Linked DNA regions of Lytechinus pictus. The protein of the gene in region 1 purifies or fractionates together with the protein of each later gene. This does not show direct contact. Links are inferred from orthologs where the notes say so. Each region holds a gene or a part of one and is shown on either strand. Other genes may lie near its edges. The genes, in order: F-box/WD repeat-containing protein 7-like, RNA-binding protein 28-like, lysine-specific demethylase 6A-like and dolichol-phosphate mannosyltransferase subunit 1-like.

Evidence for each region.
Region 2: the proteins of F-box/WD repeat-containing protein 7-like (region 1) and RNA-binding protein 28-like purify together in Homo sapiens (affinity purification with mass spectrometry, with the first as the bait; 3 studies listed by BioGRID). This does not show direct contact. The link is inferred for Lytechinus pictus from reciprocal best matches to the Homo sapiens genes FBXW7 and RBM28.
Region 3: the proteins of F-box/WD repeat-containing protein 7-like (region 1) and lysine-specific demethylase 6A-like purify together in Homo sapiens (affinity purification with mass spectrometry; 3 studies listed by BioGRID and IntAct, with this or other methods). This does not show direct contact. The link is inferred for Lytechinus pictus from reciprocal best matches to the Homo sapiens genes FBXW7 and KDM6A.
Region 4: the proteins of F-box/WD repeat-containing protein 7-like (region 1) and dolichol-phosphate mannosyltransferase subunit 1-like purify together in Homo sapiens (affinity purification with mass spectrometry, with the first as the bait; 3 studies listed by BioGRID). This does not show direct contact. The link is inferred for Lytechinus pictus from reciprocal best matches to the Homo sapiens genes FBXW7 and DPM1.

The regions. Positions count from the first base shown.
Region 1 is NC_087249.1:44,557,759-44,565,048, forward strand, and holds the start of F-box/WD repeat-containing protein 7-like, read right to left. Parts: upstream 3,009-7,290; 5' UTR 2,717-3,008; intron 1,230-2,716; 5' UTR 1,202-1,229; coding exon 1,103-1,201; intron 124-1,102; coding exon 1-123. UniProt on the Homo sapiens protein: Substrate recognition component of a SCF (SKP1-CUL1-F-box protein) E3 ubiquitin-protein ligase complex which mediates the ubiquitination and subsequent proteasomal degradation of target proteins.
Region 2 is NC_087263.1:7,833,281-7,840,209, reverse strand, and holds the start of RNA-binding protein 28-like, read left to right. Parts: upstream 1-3,903; 5' UTR 3,904-3,928; coding exon 3,929-4,064; intron 4,065-6,929. UniProt on the Homo sapiens protein: Nucleolar component of the spliceosomal ribonucleoprotein complexes.
Region 3 is NC_087260.1:15,816,972-15,824,649, forward strand, and holds the start of lysine-specific demethylase 6A-like, read right to left. Parts: upstream 3,005-7,678; 5' UTR 2,763-3,004; intron 1-2,762. UniProt on the Homo sapiens protein: Histone demethylase that specifically demethylates 'Lys-27' of histone H3, thereby playing a central role in histone code. Demethylates trimethylated and dimethylated but not monomethylated H3 'Lys-27'.
Region 4 is NC_087246.1:37,878,990-37,885,933, forward strand, and holds the start of dolichol-phosphate mannosyltransferase subunit 1-like, read right to left. Parts: upstream 3,016-6,944; coding exon 2,975-3,015; intron 1-2,974. UniProt on the Homo sapiens protein: Transfers mannose from GDP-mannose to dolichol monophosphate to form dolichol phosphate mannose (Dol-P-Man) which is the mannosyl donor in pathways leading to N-glycosylation, glycosyl phosphatidylinositol membrane anchoring, and O-mannosylation of proteins; catalytic subunit of the dolichol-phosphate mannose (DPM) synthase complex.

The DNA.
Region 1 (7,290 bases):
TGACTGAGTCCTATCATCATGGTTCGTACGGCACTGCAGCCGGTTCCTATTCATATCCACCACATTGCTCCCGATACCAGGTACTGTGATCAGGTCCTGGATGCTGTTGAATCCCCCAGAGGCCTGCAATATTACAAACACAAAACATGTATTTTAATCTCAATTTACTCTCAAAATGTTTGAGAAAACAGACATATCGTTCATGAGATATCCAAAAGAGTAACATTGCAATTACTATTGCAATGGGGCAATCAATAAAGAATTGCCAGCTTTTTCATTTTCTCACTTCCTTGAAAACGAAACACAGCACAAGACGAAAAGACAGTAGGGGAAAAAAATCCTGTTTTACTACTCTCACACGGAAGAGCACTCACCACTGGATATGACACAACTGACACAAAGGGTGTTTTTCCAAAGCCATCTTCTATTCCTTTGAGCAAAACACTAGCTCTAACACAGATCTCTCACTAAAAGTCAACTCACTCTCCAAAATAAAGTACCGAGAAGCACCAGTATCATGCCCCACTTTAACATTTCTTGCCTCTTCACTACCATATTAAAGAAACATGTCTTACAAAGATCAACTGGGAAGGAGAAAGGGGAGGGGAAGAGGGTGTCCCAGCAGGAAATATGAGATTGCTATCATGCACTATTAATTTCGCATCCTAAGCCATTTGACACTCACAGTTTGTACGATTACCAGTTTTCAGACAATATCATACATATTTCATCAGAACATACTAAGTCAAAACATCAAATTAAATTGATCTTTCAGAATTAAGAAAAAAAAAAGGATTACAAATTTTCTTTGTAGTCCAAAGTTCTACAGAAATCACAATACTTTCAAGGTAATAAGAATGTAAAGATGCAAAACGTACATTTTCAGCAACATTTGAAGAGGGTCCCCCCCGCAAAAAAAAATTGTTGGTTAACCCTTATTGCCTGTCTAGGTATATATTTTTTTTTCATAATAAACGTAATGACTCAGGCCTAATCCTATCATTAGAGTGTAGAACATTGCTCCCTGGAAATTCAACCCAATCTGTAAAACTGCAGACCAAAATAGATTATCAAAGCTTGAACTTGTGTGAACCATACATACCTCTCTATGCTGGACGATAGCTTCAGCTCTGTTCCTCCCCACACCGAGTAGAGATGTCAGGGCATCTACATCAGCAGAATTGATGTCTACCTTTGCCATGGTACGGGAAGACTACCTTTTCTCTCAGCTGAATATCACAAATATAACGGGGGCAAAAAAAAAACATGCACTGAAATAACAAGTTCCATTCCAATTCAAAACATGGAATGGTAGGAGCAGAAGCATGTACATACAGTCTTTACAGTCATAAATGCAACTCACACATTATTCAGTGAACCCAGAGCTTGCGAGAACTTAACGTATCTCACTCTGTCATGACATCAACACCTTGCACTCGCAGCAACATACTTAATCACTTTGGATATTTTACTGGATGCCAATCTTTTATATCTTATCATGAAAAAAAAAATCTTGGATTCTTGGGTGTACATTATTTGTTGGACCTTCAGCCTTCTAGCACTAAGCAGTTCTGGACAATTGACTGAAGAATCAATGATTTCTAACTAACAGTACCGTAGATCAAGACATCCGTTCATTAGACAATTTCCACTGGAAATTCTCTTTTTTTTTTTGCTTTTCTTAATTTTTGTTCAAATAGGGCCTTCAACAACTAGTCTGGAAAACCTATATCTTGACCCTATCAACAAAACTGGCTCAGCACTGCCAACAAAGTAAGCTCTTTCAGTCTTTGTGACCGAGTTAGATAGCTCAGCCTCAGATGGACAGTGAAAGTGAATGCACACAATAAATCTAATGACGTGCACATTTTCGAAGAGATCCTGAACGCAGTAGAGGCGCTGGTCAGAAAATTGGGATCGTCCCAGTATTACAGTAATTACAGGGACTGTCTTCAGTTTTCAAAGATTTCTCCACAAAAGAAGTAGTATAGAGTTCATTCACCTGGCTGAAATAAGTGCCGACAACTAAACAAGTGCGCTAGTCAATGTTAACATTACCAGATTTCATAACAAGATTATTGGAAGATGGCAAGACGTGAATAATAGACGGTGAAGTGGGGGAACTAAAGTCACTTCATCTATTTTTTAAATTAATTTTAGCACTCTATTCCCTTAGTCGCTGTCTACACTCTACAAGACTAGTCTACATATCTTGCACTTTTTGCAGGCTGCAGAGTGCAGGGCCAGGGTAAGTGGAAAAAAAACCTGTCCAAATTAGTAATAAATAACGACAATTTATCAAGACATGATTGATTTGTCTTTGTTGATGAGGATATCCTTGTTTTTTCAGGGACAATCCCAATTTTTGGATCAACGACAACGGCCTCTAACGCGTTTAACTGGAACGCCGCGTTGTGAATATGTGATTGATGGAAAATCATGTTGTTACGTGCACTCCCACTCCCAGGCCATGGCCGGGCATGGCCATGCAGAGCACTCAAAATCAAATTCAAAAGATGACTGGGTTTTCATGAAGAAGTTTGGTGCAATTTTTTAAGATAAGATTCATGAAAACTTGAAAAGCGTTTACAGTTTGATCTAAACTTCACAAGTTTGGAATGACTGATCACGCATAATCATCACACACGTCATACACGTAGGCATACACATTAACCGTACCGCGCCGGGTACGCGATGCGGTAGTACGGTACCGTACCTGTGCTGTGCTGCAGCTGTGCGGCTGCAAAGCCGGCCCCAAGGCGTTTCGCACTGTCGTCAAGTCCTTCGGGAACCACAGGATAGCATTTCCTGGTCGAAAATTTCATATTTTCACGTAAAGCAACTTCTCATTAATGTTATCATGATCGTAGAAATGTAGTAAAATGAAATAAAAGGTGCAAAATGTAGAATATCTGCTCCTTTATGAGGTCTACTTTGTAGTATTTTCTTCTGTGTACGGAGGAGCTGATAGTATCATTGAACGCAATTAATCCATCTTACATTACGTTGCCAATTTAAGGATCCTTTATAATAGCGATCTCCAAAAATTTCTTATCTCTGATATGAAACTGATGAACGACATGTATACTGAATTGATAATAATAATAATGATAATAATATTTGACTGATCATAATAATGAAATGATATATGAGAAAATAAAAAATTTGATAAGAAAGTAAATTTACATCTTATTTTTTGCTCGGATTTCATAAAAAACTTTTCGTGTCAATCTCTTGGGGATACGATTGAAATAGACCCCAAGTTTGGGTTATTTCAATTCGACTCATCGTCGCGTCTATACTACCATTGATCTATGCGCATAGTCTCATTGCCATATTGTCCACTCACCATTTCGTATAATTAACCAGTTGTTCCAATAGCCCTTTAGTCCATAAACCATTTGGTCTAATTGGATAAGTGTTATTGGGCGAAATGAATAAAAGAAAATGGATATTAGACCAACTGCTTATTAAACGAAATATGGTCAGGGATGAACTGGTGATTAGACGAAGTGATTATTGGACCAAATGGTTATTAATTGTCGATCACTGATAGACGAAATGTTGATGATGGACGGAATGACAGTTTTTTTAGACTAAATGAAGGTTGACCATGTGATGAGTAGACGAGTTGGCAAAAGACGAATCGGCAGTTAACCATCTCTTGGTAGCATCAGAGAGAGTTTTTGGTCGCATGTTGGAAAACTTTGTGCTCCTTTATATATATCAGCTATGACTTCCATATCATGAGATTTCAACCCCCCCCCCCTCCTCCGCCCATCTATCAAATTTGAGGGGATTTTCAGAGTTTGAAACTTGAATGACATCCACAATTATGCCTTAGCCAACTTCACTGAAGTATAAGTTATAAAGGTGAAATTATACACCGTAACTTTCGTCATTAATCAAATGAAATAGGGGGTCTACAATAAAAAAAGAAATTATTTAAACAGCACGTACATGCAAAAAGAGAAGATGGATTACACGTGGGCCTATGCGAGAAGTCTCCGTGGGCATCAACGAGTGGGGGGTAGCGCAGCGCCCCCTCCCCCTCTCTCAATGAGGGACCACCAGAAATGTGGCAAAAGATCATGAAGATATGAAAGTGAAAATAGAAGAATGCACTCTAAAAAGTGAAGTGCTAATTTAGCACTTAATGTCCTTGTATAGTGACTGCACTTTGAGTGCTGATCTTTTCCTAGTTCAAATTTGAATGAGCACTCAAAGTGCAGTCATTATACAAGGACAAATAAGTGATAAATTAGCACTTCATTTTTAGAGTGTAGAAGAAGGAGGAAGGGAAATAGAAATGTAGAAAGAAAACGGAAAAGAGACAATCTAATTTGTTTTCTCTTTCACCTTTTTTCTCCCCATTTTAGCCTTCCTTACTCTTCTTAGTTCATGGCTCCCCCTCTCTCTTTGTCTCTCCCCCTCCCTGGCTTCCTTCTTTCATGTACGTTTATTCTCCCAACAGACGTGTTTGGTGACGAAATTTGCCAATAAAATTTTAGACCAATCCTGAATAGTGGCAGGGCTTGGTCGTATCATATTGTTTATCACCTTTGCAAATGTCCATATAAAAAATATAGCTTTCACAAAACTCATTTATTCTTTATTCTCTGTGAGATCCTTAACATCACTAAAATAGTGGTGATGGAGTGTTTTTTAGTATATTTAAAATCCGTAGATTCATTGTTTCGTTGGCCAATCTTGAAACTTTATGTTGAACGGCTTTCGGCGGCTCCAAATTAAGCTTTTTCTGATTAAAAGTATCGGATTATCAGTGCGAGTTGCGGCGATGGTGAAGTTGATCGAAATTTCACTTATATGATACTCTGGTTGTGTTCTTATATTTATTTTATTTTATTTTTTACTCTCAGCGAAGTTATGCTGTTATCATGATTTTTTTTCGGGGTGATGAAAATAAATTTATTTTGATGTAATTTTCTAAAGAAATTACATTACATGTATTAAAAAAAGGGTTTGGCTGCATGCAGCATTGTAGAAACATGATTTCTTCTTTTAAAGGGATGGTTCAGGCTGGAAATATTTATATCTCAATAAATAGAGTAAAATTCACAAAGCAAAATGCTGAAAATTTGATCGAAATCAGATAACAAATAACGAAGTTATTGAATTTTAAAGATTTGCATTATTTCGGTGATACATGCAGTTCTAGCCATGTCTTTGTGAATATTCATTAGGTGGGCTGATTATGTAATTTCCCAACTTTTTCTTTTGTATTTTATTCTATGAAATAAGGTTTATTCACAATAATATTTTTCTACCAAGAACTAAAACCTTGGATTGACAACTGATTTAGTGCATTAGTTATTCTTGCCGCAACAGCTTATTTCATCATAATGGAGACACATCATTTACACATGTATGAAATAATGTAAAATTTATGATTTCATGTAAAACATAAGAAAAGGGAAAGTGGGGATGTGAAATCATCAGCCCACCTAATGAATATTCATGACATGTGCATAAAACTGTTTCCACAAAATATTGATAAACTTTAAAACTCAATGACGTTGTTATTTGTTATCGGATTTTGATAAAATTTTCAGCATTTTGCTATGTGAATTTTACTCTATTTATTTAGATGTAAATAATTTCAGCCTGAACCATCCCTTTAAACTATCATCCCCTTGATACACACATCTTCACCATATGCACCACCACTAAGCAGCAATTACAATATTATGGTTCACTATCACTTCTTAATCTTATTCAACGTTTACGAATTTTGTTTTAAAATCATATTTTATTTATTCCTCATTATACATAACATTTTAAAATAATGAATAATACCAAATCATTAACATAAATATAGAAGGAAAGGAAAGAGAGAGAGAAAAAAAACGTTTGGTCTACGATCGTCGCAGTGCGCCCGTAGGGTGATCGTATAGGCACATCCTATTAATCGTATTCTACAGTGCGTATCAAAAAAAATTTACACTTTGAAAAAATCCTGTAAAATTATACATTTGTAATATCCTGAACTCTTTTCCACATTTTAACTATGGTACAGGTCCATTTAATCAAATGACGATATAACTGTCGAAAAATATTTCCGCTTGAGTGAGCACCACTTACTTTTGAAAAGTTAGTGAAAAATGATTTGCGCAGAACTTTGAAATAGTTATGCGAATAAAAGTAGACCTTAATCATGAAGAACACGTAGAGTTTAGCTATTAAAATTGATTTGAAGATATTTTTACCTTTTTTGACTTGTTTCCTTGCCCAAAACACTTCGAAGAGAGCATTACACCCCACTCCTCTCCCCCACACACCGAGGCCATCGTGACGATATTTGCTTTACACTGAGCTGTGATTTACATGGAATGGCTTAAGCTTGATTTTCATTTTGTTAATCATTACCAAGCTTGGGAAAAATGTGGAGAAACATGTATTAAATGAGAAATGAAATGTAAACCCACTTTCAATGATAAAAACTGAGTGAAATAATGCTGGAGATGTCTGATTTAAACTTTTGTTCAGATTCAGTTATGTCCTCAGATCCAGCTGGCACAAAAAGGGTAAAGGTTGTGCTTACTAAGTGCTGAAATTTCGATTTGGGTGGCAAAATTGTTACAAAATGCTTGAATGTATCCGTCTTATTTCAACTGACTAAAAGTGCAAGGGAAATGTATGAGAAATGTTTCGCAGGGTAAGTTTGATTTCGCCGTTTCCCCTTAACACAGCGTGAAAACGAGCATTTCTGCGCAAACAGATTTCTGCGAGCTTTACAAAAATGGACAGTGCTCACTCAAGTGTAACATTCTGACAAAACTTTTACTTTCATTGGATAAGTGAGACCCAAATCCAAGATTATATGTGAAAAAAATTACCCACATGTTGTATATTTTTTAATTCCCAGGGCTTTTTCAAATTGTAAACTTTTTTTGATACGCACTGTATAGTAGTCTATGCTATAGAAGTGATCCCCACATACTGTAAATCGTTAACGTTGTCATATAGACCGAAGAAATTTACGGTGCGGGGATGGGGGCGGGGGCTGAGTCGGAAGTAGCATTAAATCACATTTTCACGGTACTTTTCATGATTTCGTACACGCTTACTGAAAAAGTTTGGGGCTGAAGCGAGCCTCACCCCCTTTCCCGGTGTCACGGCCCCTTAGATAATCGCACTCATGTGCTTAGTCAAATGTAACCGATATAAGGAAAGGAAAGGAACGGAAAGGAAAGGAGAGGAAAGGAAAAGAACAGGGTAAAATATAATACTTTCTGAATATCTAAAAAAAATCCACCACAAAATTATAGT
Region 2 (6,929 bases), on another chromosome or scaffold:
CGACCTTTGACCCTGACTGCGTCTCAAGTTGCTAATATTTCTATCACCAATCTTCTTGGGAGATGTTTGGATTCCGAAAATTTCTCCCGGGTTTCCGCCTGAGTTTCTGAACCCCGCCAAAGTACCCATCAACCCCGTCCGTAGAAACCGTTTTGAAGTTTTTGAATTCGGTTTCTCGGATTTCGGGGGCTTCAATTCTCCTGATAATGTGCATTGTATACAGGTCCCGGATACAGGTAATACTAATAATAAAAACAGACTAAAGGAACGAACTTGAAGCATCCGCGTAGCCAGGATTTTATTTTGGAGGGGGCGGTAAATGCACGCGAAGCGTGCCAACGGTGCCAACACTTACAGAGCGCGCGAAGCGCGCTCCCTAGGGGGTGGGTGCAGGGAGGGGGAGTTTCCCCCTCCCTCGCGAAGCGCGAAGCTTTCGGTGTTTCATAAATTAAAATGAAAAGGAGCCGTCTCTCTTGTCTCTATATCAGCTCCAATTCAGTTGAATATATTGTGATTTTGAACCTTGTTTTCAAAAGTGATTGTGAACGCACAAAAAAGGGATAAAATAATAATTACTCCGCGCAAGGCGCGGAAGCTAAAGCGTTTTATCAATTTTTTTTTTCCAAAGAAAAGGGTCTCGAGATAAAGGTTCTCTAGGTTAAAATAAATGCGTCCCTTGGAAAGATCAGATTTGATTACAAACAATTATATCTTTAACTCGCAAAACAGAGGAGAAGAAGCTAGGGTATATGCCGGGAGGAAGATATTCCTCCCCGCCCTGAGCAATTAAACTCTGAAATTTCAAAGGGCGGACGTTTCATCAAATGCAGATATCTCTAATACCCCATCGGCTATAATTCAATTGATTTTCTAAGATTATTGAACTTCATTACAAGGAAAATAGTGCACAAAAAGTTGAAACTTCTGTGATTTATTTAAATTATATAAAAAAAAATGATTTCTTTGACTAATATCCTGAAGCGCTTAATTTTGAATGATAAAGAAACTTAGATGTCATTCGAAATTTCAAAATGAGGGCGCAAAACAGGATAGGAGATGATCGTGCAGGGACATGAAGTTTAATAGAATTTGATAAAAAAATATTGTACTTTTTTTATTTAATACGACACGAATTGTATACCTTCCTCTTTTATAATAGGTACCTGTTTGCCCCCAAATTATGGTTGTTTAGTAATGAGCTGAAAAGCGGGAGAAGTTGCCTATATGGAGGTGACGGCAGAAATTGATATAAAGATTTTACCCGCCCGGAATCGACCCGACCAGAAGTTGTGCGATCAATTTGAAAAAAAAAAGATAACTTCATATACTTCGGACTAACCTTACTCTAATTCCATTCCCTAATGTATACATTTGAACTTTAACTGGCAAGAAACACATATAGCTGAGGTGGAAAAACAGGGTTAGAGAAAGAGTGAGGGGATACAAAGGAGAACTGCAATATTGTCATTTAACCGCGCGCAGCGCGGAAGTAAAATTCATATACATTTTAGAGCAAGAGTGAATAGTTTCTCTTTTGAGAAAAAATTAAAAAGAAAAAGAAAAACCCACAAAGCTACCTTTCTTCCCTTTCCTCCCTTCGCTTTTCCTTTTCTCCTCTCTTTTTCCCTTCTTTTTTTTTTTTGGGGGGGGGACGTTTTGGGGGGGGGGGGCGACCGCCCCCACCGCCCCCCCCCCCCCCTGGCTACGCGCCTGACTTGAAGTCACTGCGACAAAACATTTTTTTCTGTTAACCTTTCACGTTGAATTGAAAGTTTTGCTGAGAACATGACTGAAACCATGGAACTTAGTGACCACAAAGGACGGGGATGGGAAATGAATTAAAGAACACTGAGGAACATTAAACGGAAAAATATTCCGTATTCTTGAAAAGGTACCAAAAACTAATGACGCTCACGCTTTTAATAGGCTTAATAATATATATTTTTTTGAGATACGCATCCTACATGTCCTATTGTTTTCAGGTCTGAATATTAATAATAATAAAACCTACTCTTTGCGCTCAATAAATTGCGACTGAGATACGTTGAGCTTACACTGGAACAATAGACCTACCAGGTCTAAAAAAATAATAATCCGTCCAGACTTCGTACTCGCAATATTTGGTTTGATATATTTTAGCAGGCCTTTTCGTTTCATGAATTTTTGCCAACAATCCTTGAAGCGTCCCTTTTCAAGTCATCGCATTATTCGCATATAATGTGTAATATAAAATGTCCTTGAATGAGTTTGGAATTCAACAACAATAACAATCAGCCCGAGTTTCGTACTCAAGTTTGTATGATAAATAGGCACTGATCCTGATCATTCTACAAACAATTATCATTAATTAAAGCAAATCCAAGAAGCCTAAATTGATGATGTAAAACGAACCAATGAAATTTGACTACAGGTGAAGTCCAGTTTCTGCAAATAGCCAGCCATCTTAAAGGTCCACCGAGGGGGTGGTAGTCAAATGTATTGCTGTGCACACGCGTGGCCAAATTATTTCCAAACACCCCCTAGACGAGTTTTTCTCTGTGTGCAGAATAACCCCCTGAACATGTTTTTCGTGGGCTTCATTTACACGTTTTGGCCCCTAAACAAGTTGTCGCCAGAATTTACCCCTGAACAAGTTTAGTCTAATTGCTAACAATAAGCTTAAATAGGCAACACTATATTCATTGGTATAGCATCCCCCAGTGCAGTTAGGATTAAAATTCCACAAAGGAATACATGTTAACACTGTGAATAAGTGTCATCTAATCTAATAAGCCCGGGGAAAAGCTTGGGGGGAACGTACCCTAAACACGTTTGGCTAGTCTTAAAAAACTTTGGAAAAAAATACTTTAAACACGTTTAACCCCGCGATTGACTATTGACCAGTTTTTTAAAGCAACTTTTTTGGGAAAATCGGTGATTTTGATACCCTTTACGAGTGCACGCGCGGCCCGCGTCCAAAAACGAAAAAAGCACGCCTTTGTGCGTTTATTTATTATTATTTTTTATTTTATTTATTTATTTTATTTTTATTGGGGGGGGGGGGTCACGCATGTTTACAGCAATATATTTGACTGCCCCCCCCCCCCTCCGGGCTGACAAGTCCACCCCAACAAAAAATTGATTTGAATAAAAATACGAAAATCCAACAAGCATAACGCTAAAAATTCCAACAAAATGGGATGTAAAATAAGAAAGTTCTGACATTATAAGGTCGCTTAATTACACAAAACAGTTATGCTTTTCCTGGTTGGTATGCAAATGGGGAGACTGATGACATCATCCACTCACTCTTTCGTGTGTATTTTATTATATCATATATGAAATATTCTAATTTTCTCCTCATTGCCAAGTGAAACATAAATTAATTCCTCACTGACAATGGAATCCCGACTGTGGTATCAGCATTGTATACGGTTTAGTCAAGTTGGGCTTTAATTGTCAAAATCTTAAAAAATGAACTATTGTATGATTCAAACAATAAAAATAAAAAATAGTGATTGAGGGACATCATCGTCTGTCTGTTTTGTGAAATATAAGCGAAACTTTAAAATTTCATAACTTTCTTATTTTACACCCGATTTTGATGAAATTTTCAGCTTTGTACCTTTTCCCCCCTATTTATTCAAATCAACATTTATCTTGGGTGAAATTGACCACATAGGAGGAAAACCTAGAACTACATATCTGCTTTCGGAAACTTCCTAAGAAGTACTTGTTTTGCATACCCTGGCCTGTTGTCATCAATCTTTCATCGATTATTGGACCGCCGAGAGCGGCCGAGAGTTTGTCATCTCATCCTTAATGGTCGCTTGCTAAAGCGTTGATCTGTGTGGAAAGAAACCAAGAGGAAGAAACACTTTTACCTAATGGTCGCTTCGTACAAGGAGGCACTTTATTGCGCGTGCGCGTACAGAATTGACATTTAAAGATGGCGGCGTCCACAGCACATGTGAGCTCAACACTTTTTATAAGGAACTTGCCATATTCGGCTACGACTAAAGATTTGGAGTCACAATTCGGAGAAATTGGTCCTATTAAGCAGTGCTTTGTTGTGACTGATAGAGGTAAGTGTGTAACTCCTTTTTTTAATTGGCATTTTCATCGCCAGACATCGTCATAGTTTGTGTTTGGCTTAGACCAAAAGCTTCGGTCTCTGTTATGTTGGTTGTTCAGCTGAACTCCGTTGGCTTCACTCACCAAATACAGAGACCGAAGTTCTAGCGCGATCTGTACAGGGGACTCAACGGCCATATGTTTATGTACTTAAGATCGGATAAAACGGGGAAGTGAATTTGCGCGACAGTCAAGGTAAGTCACTGTTTTTGTTCCTTTTAACTTGATTTTTCTCAGTTTTTTGGCAATTAATGCCAAGAGGGAATATTAATTTGCATTTTGGTCGCGTTAATTTTCAAAATTTTTATTCATTAAAGACAAAAATTGAAGAGCCCCGACGGGGGGATTTTGCATTGCAAGTCCCCTAATGGTGGCTGCACGCTAGCGAGCCGTCTGTGTACGAGGAGAAATAAAAAAAATAAAAAAAGTTAAAAAACTCCTCGAAACAGACGGCTGCCAGCTGTCTAGTTTGGCTTTGCCTTTGGCTTTGAGTTGAGACAAGTTGAGTGCAGGCACTCATCGCTCATTCAATGAACAAGAGACGAGTGCAGGCAGTAGAGGCGCTGGTCCAAAAACTGGGATTGTCCCAGAAAACAAGGATATCCTCATAAACCAAGACAAATCATGTCTTGATAAATTGAGACTGTCCTTGTTTATGGGGACGTTTTTTTTTCACTTCTCCCTACGGGACAAAGACAGCAATTACGGAAATTGAGAGTGCTAAAAATAGATTCAGTGACCTCAATTCCCCCCAGTTCGCCGTCTATTTTTCATGACTTACCGTCTTCCAATAATCTTGTTATGAAACCTGATATGTTTACATTGACTAGCACACTTGATTGGTGTCGGCACTTGACAGGTGAATGAACTTTCCTAGATTTCTAGTGTGAAGAAATCCTTATAAACTGAGACAGTCCCTGTATTCTGGGACGATCCCAATTTTCTGACCGGCGCCTCTACTGGCAGGAGCGGAGCCGCACCGCGCCGCCTGGGGCTGGGCAGGCCGGCGAAGGCAAGCGTGTGCGCGGCACAGTTTGCTCACTGCAACCATCCTGCCTGTGGGGGAATCTATGTAGGATTAGCCAGGAGGCTTCTAGAGAGTAAAAACATTTACTAACGAGTAACATAAGGTTACTCTCAATTCTCATATACGAAGCCAGGTCTTCCTTCCTATACTTTTGCGTGTAGCCTACCACCAAAAAACCTGAAAGTTTAGTGAAACTTTCGCCCCCCGAGATTTCAACTTTCTTTCTAAAAGATCTAGCCCTAAATCATGTACATGAGATACAACTTCATTTCCGACATTTCTACGCCATGGATTTTATTTCTAGACAAGAATTCATCAAAAATATGAGGAAAATATCATGAAAAGACGGAAGAGACTTGCCCTATGTTTACGCCGCCATCTTGTTTTCTATTGTTCTTCACCCACGATACGGACGCTTGCAGTGTACAACACACTTTAAAATATAACATTTTTGTGACCCAAAATACGAATTTCCATACAGTTGCAATTTTATTTTTAGAAACAATGACATGAGAATCATTTATGTAATTGTATTCAGCAGACCAGAGCGCTCAAACTTCAAAAACTTGAATTTTGGGCATATTTTGGTGGACTGGAAAGTAAATAATATGGGAAGAAAATTTTCATTTTTCAATCTCTATTTTTTTTTTATTTAGAAAAAATTGGTGGAAAGTAATAAATATGGCAAGAAAATGTTCATTTTTAAATTTCTTTTTTTAATTTAGAAAAAAAAAAGAATCAAATTTAATTAAAAGCCAAATTATATGATGATTAGCTGTAATGGGAATCTGAGTGTCTGACAGTATCAATATCAAGCATTTGCTCCAAAGCAAAAGAGAAAATAAGCCAAACATTGCCAACCTTATTTTGCCACACATGGAGTACTAACAGTAACACTAACAGAGAACAAGGTTATATCATACTATAGTCTATAGTCTATAAACCCAGGAGTCATCCGTGTAATACTAGTCAAACATAAATCTATATACTCTCCAAAATGGGGTAGAATGGGGTCGGAATAGCACTTCAAATAAAAGGGGAAAAAATAAATTATGCACTTACCTCGATTATATGGATGAAGGTCTATCGTGACACAGGCTCACTCATTCAATGAACAAGGTTATGATATAACTTTGTTCTCAGTTACATCTCCATGTGTGGCACAATAAGGGTGGCAATTTTGGCTTATTTTCTCTTTTTCTATGGGACAAATGCTTGATTTTCTTACACTGTCAGTTTCCAATACAGCTATTCATCATATAACTTGGCTCTTATGTAAATTTGATTCTTTAAATTATTTTTTTTTAATCAAAATTAGAGATTGAAAAATGAAAATTTTCTTGCCATATTACTTTCCATCAATAGAGGGCGTACATAAAAATATGCCCAAAATTCAAGTTTTTGAGCGCTCTGGTGAATATAAAAAATATTCCCAAGTTACTAATGAAAAATAAATTGCAACTGTATGGAAATTAGTAATTTTGGTCAAAAAAGTGATATTTTAATGATTTTTTAAAGTGTGTGCTATGTACAGCATTGGCATACCATAGTCCTACATGTACCTGTAGATTCCCCACAGGCAGGATGGTTGCAGTGAACAAGTGCACAGGCTCAGCTATCCGAACATCGAGGCACAAACTGGACCCTCAAAAAAAGAAAAAGTTAGATGTCTATGTCGTGTTTGTTTTGGTATCGATCGGCCATTTTGTTTTTAATTTTGACAGAAGGAAAACGAACGAGACAGAACTTTTCCTTTTTTGGAGGGTCCAGTTTGTGCCTCGATGTCAGG
Region 3 (7,678 bases), on another chromosome or scaffold:
GAACCAATGTTTATTCAATGACTTTCTCCTTATCCTTGGCTTTCTTACTCACCAAGAATCTAGTACAAAAAAAGATAACTTGATTCATAAAAGAAAAGAATGAATATTTAAAAATTGGACATGGCTCATGAATAATTCTCTATTCTTAATAATACCTTACGAAGCTTGTATATCAAATCTCTACAAAAAGTTGATGGTATTTGACATGATCTAATAATCTAAAATAAAACTTGACATCATACCAAGCTACATGTACATATAAAAGTTACCAAATAAAGTCTTAAAAAGCCATGTTTTATAACAGAAGATTACGGAAGTAAAGTATCTGCATACTGATGGACATATTAATTAATCCTTTATCCTTCAAGAAACCCTCCAAAAGATTGAAAGCACAAGAAATGACTAAATAATCTAAAATTAAATTGAAACCATTTCAAAAACGATGAAGAAACAAGAATTCCTACAAAAAGGCTATGGTATCATGACTACATGTAGGCCTTCATGACATTCAGGCCCTCAAATTAAAGATCTGTGATGGATTGCTAATATAAAAGAACGATTCTGATTGGTTCCTGGTCAGTGCTTTGAACAAAATTTGTATGCAACAACGATTCCGATTGGTAGTAAGCACTGACAGTGATTGCAAACCATGGAGAGCTCTGTGGTTAGACCACTTGTTGGGCATCATCTAATCTTACATGTGAAGCTATCCAACTCTGTACACAGAGTGAAAGGTAAAGACACCAACTGACCAGACTGACCTTGTCCCCAGTCAGTGGTCATTCTCTCTGATTGACCAGTGGCCTAACTGTGACCTCGTGCAAGGTCAGATAGGGTAAGAAACAGGTGGATGCAATAACCCAATTTTTTTTTTCTACCCTGGAGCAGGCCAGTGAGGCTGGCTAGACATTCCTATTACACACAGTCCAGTAATCTCTGGTTCTGGGAGTAGTCTCCCTTCCGCAGACACTGTTTTACAGCTATCTGTAAACAGCTGTACAGAACAGGGGCACCATTTCATAAAGGACTTGCAACTGTTGTACCTTTGTCATTATGGCAACTACCATGGTAACCTTGATTTTGATTGGCTGCTGAGCCCTGTTGCCATGGTAGTTGCCATAATGGCAAAGTTACAACAGTTGCATTTATGAAACGGCCCCAGATGTGGATTGGTCTATTCAGTCATCTAATAAATCATGCAGCAAATAATTAACTTAATTCCCACTAATCCCCACACATGAAGAATCAGCCATCATCAGCACAAAAGAAATTGAAAGATTGACCAAGCAGCTGAGTGTAAATGTAAAAGTACAATCAGACAGGCCTACTGTAGTTAGAAGAAAGTAAGTCTTCATGTACTCATAAAAAAAATAGATGGAATTTTGAATTCAAAGTGAATTTCAACATTTACATGTAGCTCAGTTATAAATAATAGTGCATACATGTATGACTGGTTTTCAAGGGAGGGCTGAGTGGGATTATGACATTATGATGATTCTTATTTCCATATTCAGAAAGAGCAAACTGATTCCTTGAGAATCCTTTGGGCCCGTATTCTGAAGTCATGTTTAACTTATTAATAGACCAAAGTCTAACTCTCTGCCAAAAATTCAAAATTCTGTTTCTCTTACGTTTACTTTTTTTTTCCAGTTGCTTTCATAACAAAGTAAATTACTTCAATTATCATTCCCAGACAATTATGAACAATTTGAGTGTCAAATGAGTTAATAAATTGGATGTGTACTGTTAGGGATTGTACCCGAATTGGCTCTCCATAGTTAAACCACAACTTTAAACCAGAGTTTAATTTAAACCCGAGTTCAGAATACGGGCCTTTGTGTTCTACCAAAACAAACTTGCAAGCTCTACAAAGATTTGTTTTTTATCAGTTACACTTTAACTGATAATAGACACTATAAGACTGTATAAACTATGACTAATTCAGTCAGTGTCAATAACAAATAGTTTGGAAATGAGTTACGCCTACATGAATGTATTTTTGTAGTTTATGGTGTGGTGTACACAGACCCATCAGCTTACTTGCTCAAAGAAATATCAATATCTAGCAAATTCCTGATCAATATTCACACAAGAGATACCACTATTGCACTTGAAAAAGCCTACATGTATGTTGTATTAACAAACTATTTTGTTAAAAATGGACAGAACTTGAGCTTACTTGCTCAATGAAAGATCAATATCTACATACATGTATGTTATTGTTGCTAGCAAATTCCTGATCACAATACACAGAAGAGATACCAATATTGTACATGAAAAAGCCTACATGCATGTTATAACAAACTAATTTGTTAAAAATGGACAGAACTAGCACAAAAGGCATGAACATTATATTATGTCTTACATGTATCAAATACATGCCCAAGCGCTCACAGCACTATTATACAGCCTATAAAAAATTGTCAGGTACCGGAGTACTGAAAACTATAGGCCTAACTCTTAATACACACTTCTGGAGAACTTGATGCGCCCCTTCAGTGAAATGAATATATAATCCAGCGCAAAAGTGTGGGTGAATCGGTAGATAGAACTTGACCAAGTTTCAAAGTTTGAGCACAAAGAAGTTTGGAGACTAGTAGTAGGTTCTACAACTCTATTTACCCCACATGTACATGTAGTAGCAGTGTATGCCTCCTGTAAAGCCGGAAAGGCATGAACACTGAAACGAAGATTGTACACAATAACCACGTGCAGATGGCAAGAGACCCAAACAGATCAAACTCCCCCTATACAGTACATACCTAGTTATTCTAGTAACTCCTGACTCCCAAATGTAGCATAAAGTCCAGATATCTTTCCAAGATCACTCCACAGAAACAAGTTACTGTCCAATATATATTTCCAATACACCTGGGTCAACAGGAAGTGGTAGAGGGGTGTAAAAACGCACCCCTTGCATGTGCACTCTTCTGGTATGGGTGCGTAATTAGCCCCCCTTTCTGACTTGAATGTGTACCCCCTATTGATCCCCTTGTGGTCTGCCAAGCCTGTTGTTTGAGATGGGTCACTCTACAAAAAAGGCACTGCAACAATAGAATGGAATTCAGACCCGCTAGTCTACTCTTTTAGACCCTGGTGGGTGTTTCATAAAGCTGTTCGTAAGATACGAATGACTTTACGCACGACTGGTTTTCCTTTCTTGTGCGATGTCATATCCCTATGTAATTGAGTTATGACCTAAGAACATGTTCCAGTCATGCGTAAAGTCGTTCGTAACTTTACGAACAGCTTTATGAAACACCCACCAGGGTTGTTTATGATTTGGATAGGAGTAATACATGTACGGTGTATCAACTGCATCATTATGGAGGCTGGATTCCATGGTTGGCTTTCAAATTTCAACCTACATACAAAACACATTCAATCTGTTTTATGTGAGGGATCAAATGCTTATATGAAACAAGCAGGCAAAAATAAATACAAATATAATGACAAACGACTTATCTATAGCTTTTCACGTACGCAATATCTTATCATTCACTTTCATATCCTTAAAATACATCTTAGTCAGATGAGTCAAGGGTTAAATTGTGAATTCGACTTCGCCAGATTCATCTCTTCTCTGAAGAAGAAAAAAAGGTTCAATAACAATTATTGAATTGACTCAAACATTGTTTATATACCAAATATGACTAAATACTAGAAATTGAAATTAAATGTCATTTTTTTAATGCTATCTCAATTTTCAAGCACCCCATGCCCCCTTCTTTACCCCCTTCCCGTCTTTATTGGAGATAACAAAAGCTATACATAGGACTTGTGATTCAGGGCATTGGCCTTTCCGTAGTTATGAACTTAAAATGAACCCAGCGACATTTTATTTAGTTTTGTCCTATGTGATACAATCAATAGACCACTTAGCTGAGAATCAATACATAGTACAACATTAGATTTAGTTCACCTTTCCAAAATCAATAACAAAAGGTCATAAGTGACACAATGAAAGACAACAGGAAACAAAATACTACAACCCAATGCCTCATAGATGATTGGTTGAGAAATCGAAGGGCGGTGACCAACTTGACCCACATATTTGAATATATGGTCACAACTGACATGCAAAAGAATGTACATTAGATTGCTAGTTCTTTACATGCATTTTTCATGAATATGAGCAAAACTTTGAAAATCCAATTTCGATGAAATGTTCAGCATGACGCTTATTTGTTTTAGTTTGTTACTTTGTTTTAACGTCCAAATTTACTTTTTGCAAGGGAATACTTCTTCAATTGAAGGTTTTGTATCTTTGGATTGGGAGAGGGAAAGCATTCATTGAATTCATATGGGAAAAATTTAACCTTTTTATTATTTTTTTTGTGTGTGTGTTGACTGTTGACCAAAAGTTTACAACAAACAAATGTTTATTTCCAATTGTACAAATAAGTACGAGAGAAACTGATTCTTCATTCCACATAAGATTACAAGACATCACACTGAAAATGGCCAGTAGAATACTCAAATTCCTGACTTTCATTTCAAGCTGGAAAACAGAAAGAATGTATGAAATAGACTAGCCACTTCATCTTCTCCTCAGTGGTCAATATCCTCAGAGCAAGAGGGACTGACGCTCAAAGTCCTTCTGCATCTTAGCAGTCTATGACCCCTGTTACATCTGAAAGTTTCCTACCCGAGACCCGACCGAGTCCACTTGCAACCTTGACTGGATTATTGGTGGATTAGCTTCGCGAACAGACTGAGTCCGAAATGTGGTCTGTTTACATCACAGCGTTCATTCCATCCCCTATCGGTACGGTTTCGAGCAGTATCCGATTGCTGACACCAAAGGGCGCTCTCGATCTATAGGCTCTGAATAATTTGCGCGCGCTAATTGAAGTTGTTTACATTTCGTTACACTCGTCGGCTGCTACACAGAAATGACAGGGTGGGACGTGTGCCGATCATTTCCAGAGAGAGTCGAAACGACTCTTTACCTTTACCCGAGATTTAGGAAGAATGCTGATGATCCCAGCAGTCGTTGAAGATATGATCGACTTGAAAAGGATACGTTTAAAATGCTTCCTTCTTTCCACTCAAATCAAAGACTTTATCAATCACAATTCACATGTCGCATGCCGCAAAACATTTGAAGAACGACGGGGCTGGGGAGAGGATAGCGCGCGCTATGACGTAATTTGACAGCTGGCGAACGGACCGAGATAGGTTCGAAAGCTTGTGTGCGTTTACATCTACGAATCGGTGGACCGGGGCCGGCCCGATACCTACCCGAGACTACCTCTGGATGTGGTCTCGGGTAGGTTCGCTAAAAGGTGGCCCGAGGTAGGTTTGGGATGTTTACATCTGATTTCTTTCCGACCCGAGGTAGGCCCCGGGCCGGCCCGAGGTAGGGAATCTCTCAGATGTAACAGGGGTCTAAGTAGTGGACAAATAAGGAATAAACCACAAGATGTACACAGTAGCTGACATCTTTGTAGTCTCGGCTTGTTGAAAATGAAACTACACATTCCTAACGAAACCTGGATTGAATGGAGAGCAAGCTGTGAGCTATTTGCTTTTCCTACACAAAGCAAATGGCCATCAACATACCAGTCCCTTTAATCAGGACTGTGTTCACCTATGAGATTCAAAATATAAAATTAAGAGAATATATATACATCTTTTAGTATCACTATTCTGCATTTGAACAGCACTGTAACATGTTGACCATCCACAGCATGCAGGAAAAACAATACCAAAAGTCCAAAATACATTTGTTTTGTTGATATAACTAATTTTTTTTGTAGAGGGACTTGACCGTTGTAAAGAAGGGTAAAGATTAATATCGAAAGTTGTCTTTTTTAGTGTGGTGTAGTATTTGGCTATAAAGGTCAAGTGTGTATATTGAAAATATCACTATTCACTGTTCATTCATCTAATCATGTATTATTGATTCATTCATTTATATATTCATCAATTTATTTATTGATTCTGTCTTACTTTCTTTTAATTTATGCATGCATTCATTCATCCATCCATTAGTTGTCTATCTGTACATTCATTTAAGAATCTTACTAATTAATGATCTATTTCTATCTATCTATCCATCCATCCATCTATTGATTTGAATACCTTGTTATCTTTCTATTTTTCTACAGTCCATCTCAGTATAGAGTCAAATGGATATGAACTATTCTAGCTGAAGCATTTTGAAATGGTAGCACACTACTTTTATTTTAATGCCTTTTCAATAAAATTCTGCACTGTTTCATACAATCACCAGTTCACATGGAACAGGCACGGTCCACTTTACGAAAAGATTCAACTCGGCCTACGAGACATTAGTGAAAGGTGATTCAGACAGCGAAACAAGGCTCAAAAGCAAGAAGAATGCACCTTGATGTATGAGAATTAATATCTGCATCATTAACGTCAAAGAACAAAATCTAGAAGCATTAGAAAGTACATGTAAAGGTGGGCTTTTAAAGCATCAACAATGAAATCAAGACGGCAAAGACTGGATGAATTTTTGATGGTTTAAATACGTGGGAAGAATAATTTATTGATGCTATCTTTTATTTTTCTTCTCATTCATTCATAATGCGTAAAACTATTTTCAGATATGAGGTAAATCAAAGAGAAAAAAAAAGATTTTTGCCTCAATAAATAATGATTTAATGGCATTTCTTTTTTTATTTGTTAATATTAGTGGGGTACTTTATGAGCTTGTTAAAAAATTGTGATTATCATTTTCTTTGGGTGTGTGTGATTAGTATCAGAATTTTCAACAATAACAAAAGCAATCAATATGAGAGATTCTGGCAAAGGGGTTCATTCTTTACCACACTTATATAATTGTGAAAGATTTATACATTGCTCTGTAAATCCCATTTTCACCATCTCCAATACCTACATTTTGTTTAAAAAAAAAAGATTCAAGCATGCAGCCAATAGCAGTATTGTATACGAATCTAATATTTTATCATGCTTTTATTCAATGCAATCACAATCATGATCCTGTGATGAGGCTTTTCGCAGTTCATATAAGAACTGTGTACATCAGGCGAAACATAATTTTTATTTTCATTTTCGGGGGCTACTTTTTCACACCTTACTGCCTAAATCTGCAATGTTGGATAAGCTTTAACATTGCAATGAATGGGGATTTCCTGGGCTCCTTTATTTTAGTTTCAAGGGCTGTTCTGAGTATTTAGGGGGCTAAATCGCCCCTAGCCCCCATGTAATTTTTTCCCCTGGTGTACACTCAAGTTGATCTGCACTGTGGTTAGGCTTGTATATAAACTGGCCTGCATTGACTATATTGTGTAGGCCTATGCCTTTTCATTTTCAATTCAAGTTTGTGATTTTACTAGGGTGTTTTTAATGCACCCCAAAACCCCTAAACGTGATTTATCAGTGGTTAAATTTACTTTAAGTTTCTACCAGTTGATTACAGGGGCTACAGAAGGAGTGGACCCTCCTCCCCCCACATTTTTTTTCTACAATGTTCATAACCATGAAAATTACAATTACTTGTTGCTTTTTCTTCTTGGTCAGGCCCGCCCCCCCCCCCCCCCCACCCCCAACTTTCAAGATCGCTCAGCGACCCCTGCATTAGTAATACGCAAGCAAAGAGTGTTGGCCTACATGTTTGTGTTGGATGTTGGAAGGGGGGGTGCCCACCAACTGACCTGACCTTGGATTTCAACAGGGGGTCAGCGAG
Region 4 (6,944 bases), on another chromosome or scaffold:
TATCTCAAAGCCTTATTTTTACCTGAAATTGGGTGACATATTGTATGATTGCAGTTTGCAAACTGTGAAAAACCCTCAGAATTTTACAAATCTTAAATCAACATTACCACAAACTTCCTCATTACAAAAAAATGATTCAATATTAGTTTGTGGGAATATATACATGTTATGTGTCAGTTAAAGTCACATGTGGCCAGTCCAGTAATTTCAAGTTATATTTAAAAAAATATTGCTACATTTATTTTTGCTGTCCCCATGAAAATTAGCAATGGGTCTGCTCATATATTTACCGACCAGGGCTCCGTAACACAAGGGTTTGCGATGAATTGCAAATATGAAAAAGCCGCACTGATTGGCTCCCGGTCAGTATTTTAAACAGAGTGCGCATGTAACGATGATCTTGATTGGTCATTGGTATTTAGCGATTTGCAAACCTTTGTGTTACGGAGCACAGATGTGCCGGGAGCAGTGAAAAGTAGACATTACAATAGCATATTCCCTTTTGTAACTGGTCAGTACGTTTGTAAATACGCAGGAATCTTGTCTTAACATCGGACAGTAAAAAATCCAATGAAGCAGATGCCTGACATATTTTATCCTCGTGGCATCAAACTGGCTTTAAAGGGATGATGGTTCTTCATCTCTTAAAAACTTCTTGGAAAAATAAAGTCAACTACAAATTTATAGCACGAAAGGTACCACACATTCAAAATGAAAATATAGACTCTTCAGTGTGTATCAAAAAAAAAGTTTACACTTAGAAAAACCCTGTAAACTTATATATAAGTAATAAATATCCTGAAGATTTTCCACATTTTAACATTGGTACAGATCCATTTAATAAGCGAATGAAATAACCGTTGAAAAGTATTTCCGCTTGAGAGAGCACCACTTACTTTTGAAAAGTTAGTGAAAAACGATTTGTGTGGAACTTTGAAATAGTTATGGTCGCATTTCATAAGTCGGGTATGCAAAAAGGGTGGCGTATGAACAATTTTCCACACGGTGCCATGGATAAATTGTTGCTACATCACAGCCCCATGGCCAAATTTGTTGTGTAAGGTCTCATTTTGAAGCTAGAACTATAGGCTTAATATATTACTATGAATTAGATCAATACAATATCAGGAACAAAAACTATAGCACATTAAGTTTGAAGTAATAGGGGTGGCGGAGCCGGTGGATGTGGTGAATGATAGAATATTAATTAAACCTAATTAACAACTTACTATAATATGTAATATGACTGTTATCCTCATATTTCTGGGCATTTTAAAGCAGGGAACTAAATGTCAAAAAAAAATTGACAATTTTGAAAATATGCAGCAATGAAATACATAAGTATGTCAGCTCTGATCTGCAACCTAATCAATTAGTAAACCAGAGAAATTTGATTAATTAACTAATTTGTAATCTTAATTTTTAGTACAAATGTTGTGTATCATTGCAACAAACATTTCTACCCATGATGTCATTTTGCCAAGCATATAAATACAGTGACAGGTATTTTGGGGGCAAAAATGTGAAATTAAATACTGTTAATTAATTAGTATAATAAATATGCATACAATAATAGATAATTATTTGATTTTGGTACAGATTTAATTATTGATGTTTTTCAAGATTATAACTGCAAAATACTAGGGTGATCCAATGTTGCATTAACTTTTGACACTATTTTCTGTGCAGCAGGTCCAATTTGAGAAATACACATTTCAAAATTCACATTTACATTGACGTCTATGTAATAATTAGCTGTTAATTAGTCATTTTAAGGAAAAATAAAGGTATTCGAGACTTAAAACCTTTTCATTATTTAGAGAATAGTAATAGCTACAACATATCAAAAAATAAAATTTTGACCATTTTTACCCTGTTCGCGAAATTGGACCACCTTATGACATGCGACCATATATATGAATAAAAGTAGAACTTAATCATGAAGAACACATGGAATTTAGCTAGTAAAATTGATTTGAAAATATCTTTTACCTTTTTTCACTTGTTTCCTTGCCCAAAACACTTTGAAGAGTGCCATTGCACCCCATCCCACTCCCCCACACACCGAGGCCATCGTGACGATCTTTGCTTTACACTGAGCTGTGATTTATATGAAATGGCTTAGGCGTGATTCTCATTTTGTTAATCATTGTCAAACTTGGGAAAACTGTGGAGAAACAAGTATTAATTGAAAAATGAAATGTAAACCCACTTTAAATGATAAAAACTTGGTGACAAATGCTGGAGATGTCTGATATAAACTTTTGTTTAGATTCAGTTATGTCCTCAGATCCAGCTGGCACAAAAAGTGTAAAGGCTGTACTTACTAAGTGTTAAAATTTTAATTTGGATGGCAAAATTGAAATGCTTGAATGTATCTGTTTTATTTCAATTGAGTAAAGTGCAAGGGAAATGTATGAGAAATGTTTCGCAGGGTAAGTTTGATTTCGCCTGTTACCCATGACACAGCGTGAAAACAAGAATTTCTGCGAGCTTTATAAAAATGGAAAGTGCTCACTCAAGTGTTACACTCTGTCAAAACTTTTACTTTCATTGGATAGATGAGACCCAAACCCAAGAATATATGTGAAAAAAATACACACATGCCATATATTTTTTAATTCCCAGGGCTTTTGCAAAGAGTATAAACTTTTTTTTTGATACGTACTGTATAAAAACACACTAACCAAACTAATTCGCTTTGAAAAGATAAATTATTTTATTGTTTCCCCAAAGTTTAAAACTAAAATGCATAACATGTGGAAAGTGAACAAGCAATGAACCTGGTAAATAATAGATCAGATGTAACTTATTGAGGTACCAATGTCACGTGCTGGTCTAGACCGGAAATCCAAGACCAGATGGCTCAAGACCAAAACCAAGATGAAACGTAACTGGTCTTGAGACCAAGACCAATCTTGAGAGTCGAGATCTTCAACAAGGATTTCTTTTTTGAAGAAACATATTTTCTCACATTTCAAGCTTGGCTTTCATGAGGAGCACGGTACAGACCATGCGTTAATCTCTTTTGTTTAAAATGTTCTCCATCATTCGATTGATCGTCCCACACTGTAGGTATTGTCCTGGACTTCTCCAATGCTTTAGTATGACCCTCTCAACCATGACATTTTACTTCTCAGACTGTTTCACCATGGTGTGCGTGAGAAGGCCTTGAAGTAGATAAGAAGTTATCTGTATTATCTCTTAAACAGGAAGCCAAGGGCTAGTCCAATTTCACTGGCTGCCAGTCTAGCTCATCTGTTGATCTCGGCAGACTTCAGTGGCCCTTCAAACGCTTTCTCTGAGGTACAAAACTCCTCCTCTTTGCTGCAGATGGAGCATCGTAGGACCAGTGTGCAAAGCAGCTCCTCCCTCTTTGACAAATCTTCCAAAGGAATCAGGTGCCCTGTAAAGTCAGGAAATATCATAATAATAATAATAGGCATTTATATAGCGCCATCTATCTAGAAATAATCTATTCCGAGGCGCATTGTTTATCATTATTATTACCCCGGCTTTAGCTTGAGCTGCCTCTCAGCGCTCAGTGCATTCAAGGAATTAATCCTGCCGGGTACCCATTCACTTCACCTTGGTTGAGTGCAGCACAATGCGGATAAATTTCTTGCTGAAGGAAATTACGCTATGGCTGGGATTCGAACCCACGACCCTCTGTTTCAAAGTCAGAAGACTAATCCACTGGGCCACAACGCTCCACATCAAGTATTATTGAATAGCCAATCAATTAAAGGTCAAGTCCACCCCAGAAAAGTGTTGATTTGAATCAATAGAGAAAAATCTAACAAGCACAAAAATGAAAATTTCATCCAAATCAGATGTAAAATAAGAAAGTTACATGACATTTTGAAGTTTCACTAATTTTTCACAAACTAGTTATATGCACCAAATGAGATAGTTGATGATGTCCCTCACTCGCTATTTCTTTGTTTTTATTGTTTGAAATTGCAATATTTACAAATTTGACAATAAGGACAAACTTGACTGAACCATAGAATATTAAAATGACGTTAATTCCACATATTTAGGGAGGAAACTACATTCACATGACAGTGAGGAGAAAATTAAATATTTTATATAATAAAATACAAAAGAAATAGTGAGTGATGTCATCAGTTCCCTCATAAAAAGTCATATATTTGCATACCGACTGGGATGTCATGTGCGTATTAACTATTTTGTGAACATAAGCGAAACTTAAAACATAATATAACTGTCTTATTTTACATTCGATTTAGATAAAATTTTCAGTGTTGTGCTTGTTGGATTTTTCTCTTTTTATTATTCAAATCAACATTTTGTTAGGGTGGACTTGTACTTTATCTACAAAATATAGAATCCATTTCAGAGCAATATTATCTTGATTATCAAGCAAGAGATTGATTATTGCAAATTTGCAATCCATTTTTACGATGGGGGAATTGTAACTAAGATGGTCTTTTATTCATTATATTTTCATTTTTTTGCACACATAGACAGAGCCAGGCAGATCTCGATCTAACTAAGATTTAGATATTCATGAAGATATTTAGGTTTAAGGGCATAAGCCATAATAAGTGCATTTTAAAATGGGTATTGATCTACATGACCTACATTTATAAAGAGTAAAGTATCAAAAATAAGCAATAAGAAGTACAAACCTCCTTGGCACACATGAGTCCTTTGTAAAGCAGATGCAAGCCGTTTCCCACTGACCAGGTAAAAACCATCAAGATCCCTACGTAAATCTTGGCATGTGGGACCACTTTGTTGTAGATCGGGGCTCTCCATGGTTTTGTTGAGGGATAGCTTTCTTTCTAATACTGGTGTTGCTTCTTGTACCTCCTCTTCTCCATTTTTCAGCTTCTTCATGACATGGTATGGTGTTCCTCTAAAGAAATTCCTCTTTTTTTATGTATTTTGGGGTTTTGCGAGGCATTTTGAGTCAAGTGTTTACACAGCCAGAGGGCACATGAGTTTATTATGTCCCTCACTCCCTCTAGATGGCAGTATATTAGCATGCATGTATGTCTAAAACTAGTCTAGGAATTCAGACCTTGTTCTCTTCATTTTGATAGGTTTTGGTTTACAATTTTATGTTTAATGGATTTTCAATGAAAACTAGAATGTTAATTCGTCATGAGGACGAATTAAGTGATCTGTCCCTGATTCTCATAATCACAAATACAATCAACACGTTTATTCAGATCAATATGATCATCATGATGAAAACTGAACTTTTATAATGGAACTTAGAACTTGTTGAATACTCTTGAAAAGGGAGAAATGATAAGGTTGTGTGAAAAGGTATAGGTAATACACATAAATAAAAAAATAAAAATTTTAATCTCTTTTATTGTGCAATATTTAGGTGGTCAGTCTATGACAGATCACCTCTTGATTTCGTTAGAATTTTCTTTATTTTTATATATTTATTTTTTTATAGCCAATTCTTGTTGCCAAGTTTTCTCTAAATTGGCTCTATCAATTTTACTGAATTTCATGTCATTTATAAAGTCTATCTTAGAGATGCCATAATAAGCTTTTCAAGGTCATCTGGTCATGATGACGTCATCTAGGCGCCATTTTGTAAAATTCTTTATTTGATCATCCCAATCCCTCGCCAAAAGCATCGCAAATTAATGCAAGCTTGAACTGTTCATTAAAACTGTTTTTTTATGGAAAGGCCATCTAAGTGATCAATATCAAATAAAAAATAAATAAAAACTCACCGATTTCTCTACGTTAAGCTCATCCATTTGTCTCGATTACGTCTATGGTGTTCAACAGTGACAAATCGAAAAAAGAAAAAAGATCTCACGAAACCAAGAGGCTCATCAACCCGTTTGGACAAAATATTGCTCATTCCATTCCATTCCTTGTTTTTATTTGGCAATAATGCTCATAATGCATTCTGGATAGCCTCAATCAAGACAAATTCGCAATTTTGTTTCATATCGATAAAACCTTCACCCTTCACCCATATTAATCCAGGGCGGTAAAAAACGGGGGTTTGCAAAAGTGATATCATGATGAAAATGAACATTCAACAACAATATGAACAATAAATGAAAAACAAAAATAATAATAGAAATAACAATGATAGTATGAAACAAAAAGAGACTGATTGAGAGAAGAAGCAAAACCAATAAAAAAAGCATATTTCCTTTCACCATATATGACAAGATACATTTCATTATAGAATAAACTACGCTGATGGTGCTACAACAATTATTCTTGTGTATAAAAATAGAGAAAAAACTATTGAGTGTCAGTGGAGAAAGAGACTACTATCGTTGTGGTAAGAAGCATTTTATCCAGCTCTGTAGAGGTCTGTGGTGTGGTTGTGGTGCCGTGAGGCTAATTACAACAGAAGGCAAAAGCTATTTGTTCGACCCAACCCATTCAATTTTTTTTCAATTTGATAAATTGCTGATTGACACAAGTGTATGAATATGATTGAAAATCTAACAATGATTCTAGAAATTATGGTAACTACTTAACTGCCTTTGCCCAAATTGGGAAGATGTATCAATGACTTGGAACTATTTTTTGACTGGCGGAAGAATTAGGGCTATTTTACTGTTTCAGTTGATGAATTTGATCCCATCATACATGTAGTTATCTTCATAAATGGCAAATTTCAAATTTCACTTTTCATCTATACTTGTAAACCAAAAACAAAAATTGTATAACACATCTACAACTACTAACAGGTATAAAAACCAGGAATTTACTTTTAGCCCAGCAGTGCTAAAATAAAACCCATGAAACTAAACAAGTGGAACGCCTCTGGCAGTCTCGCCTGCATTACGCAATTTAATATAGCAGCAGTGCTAACTTTGAAAACTACTATAAAATAATTATTCACAAAAACATCATTCATATAATGACATAATACCACGTTCATTGACCATAAATGACATTTGAACAGAGACTTAAGACTGTCA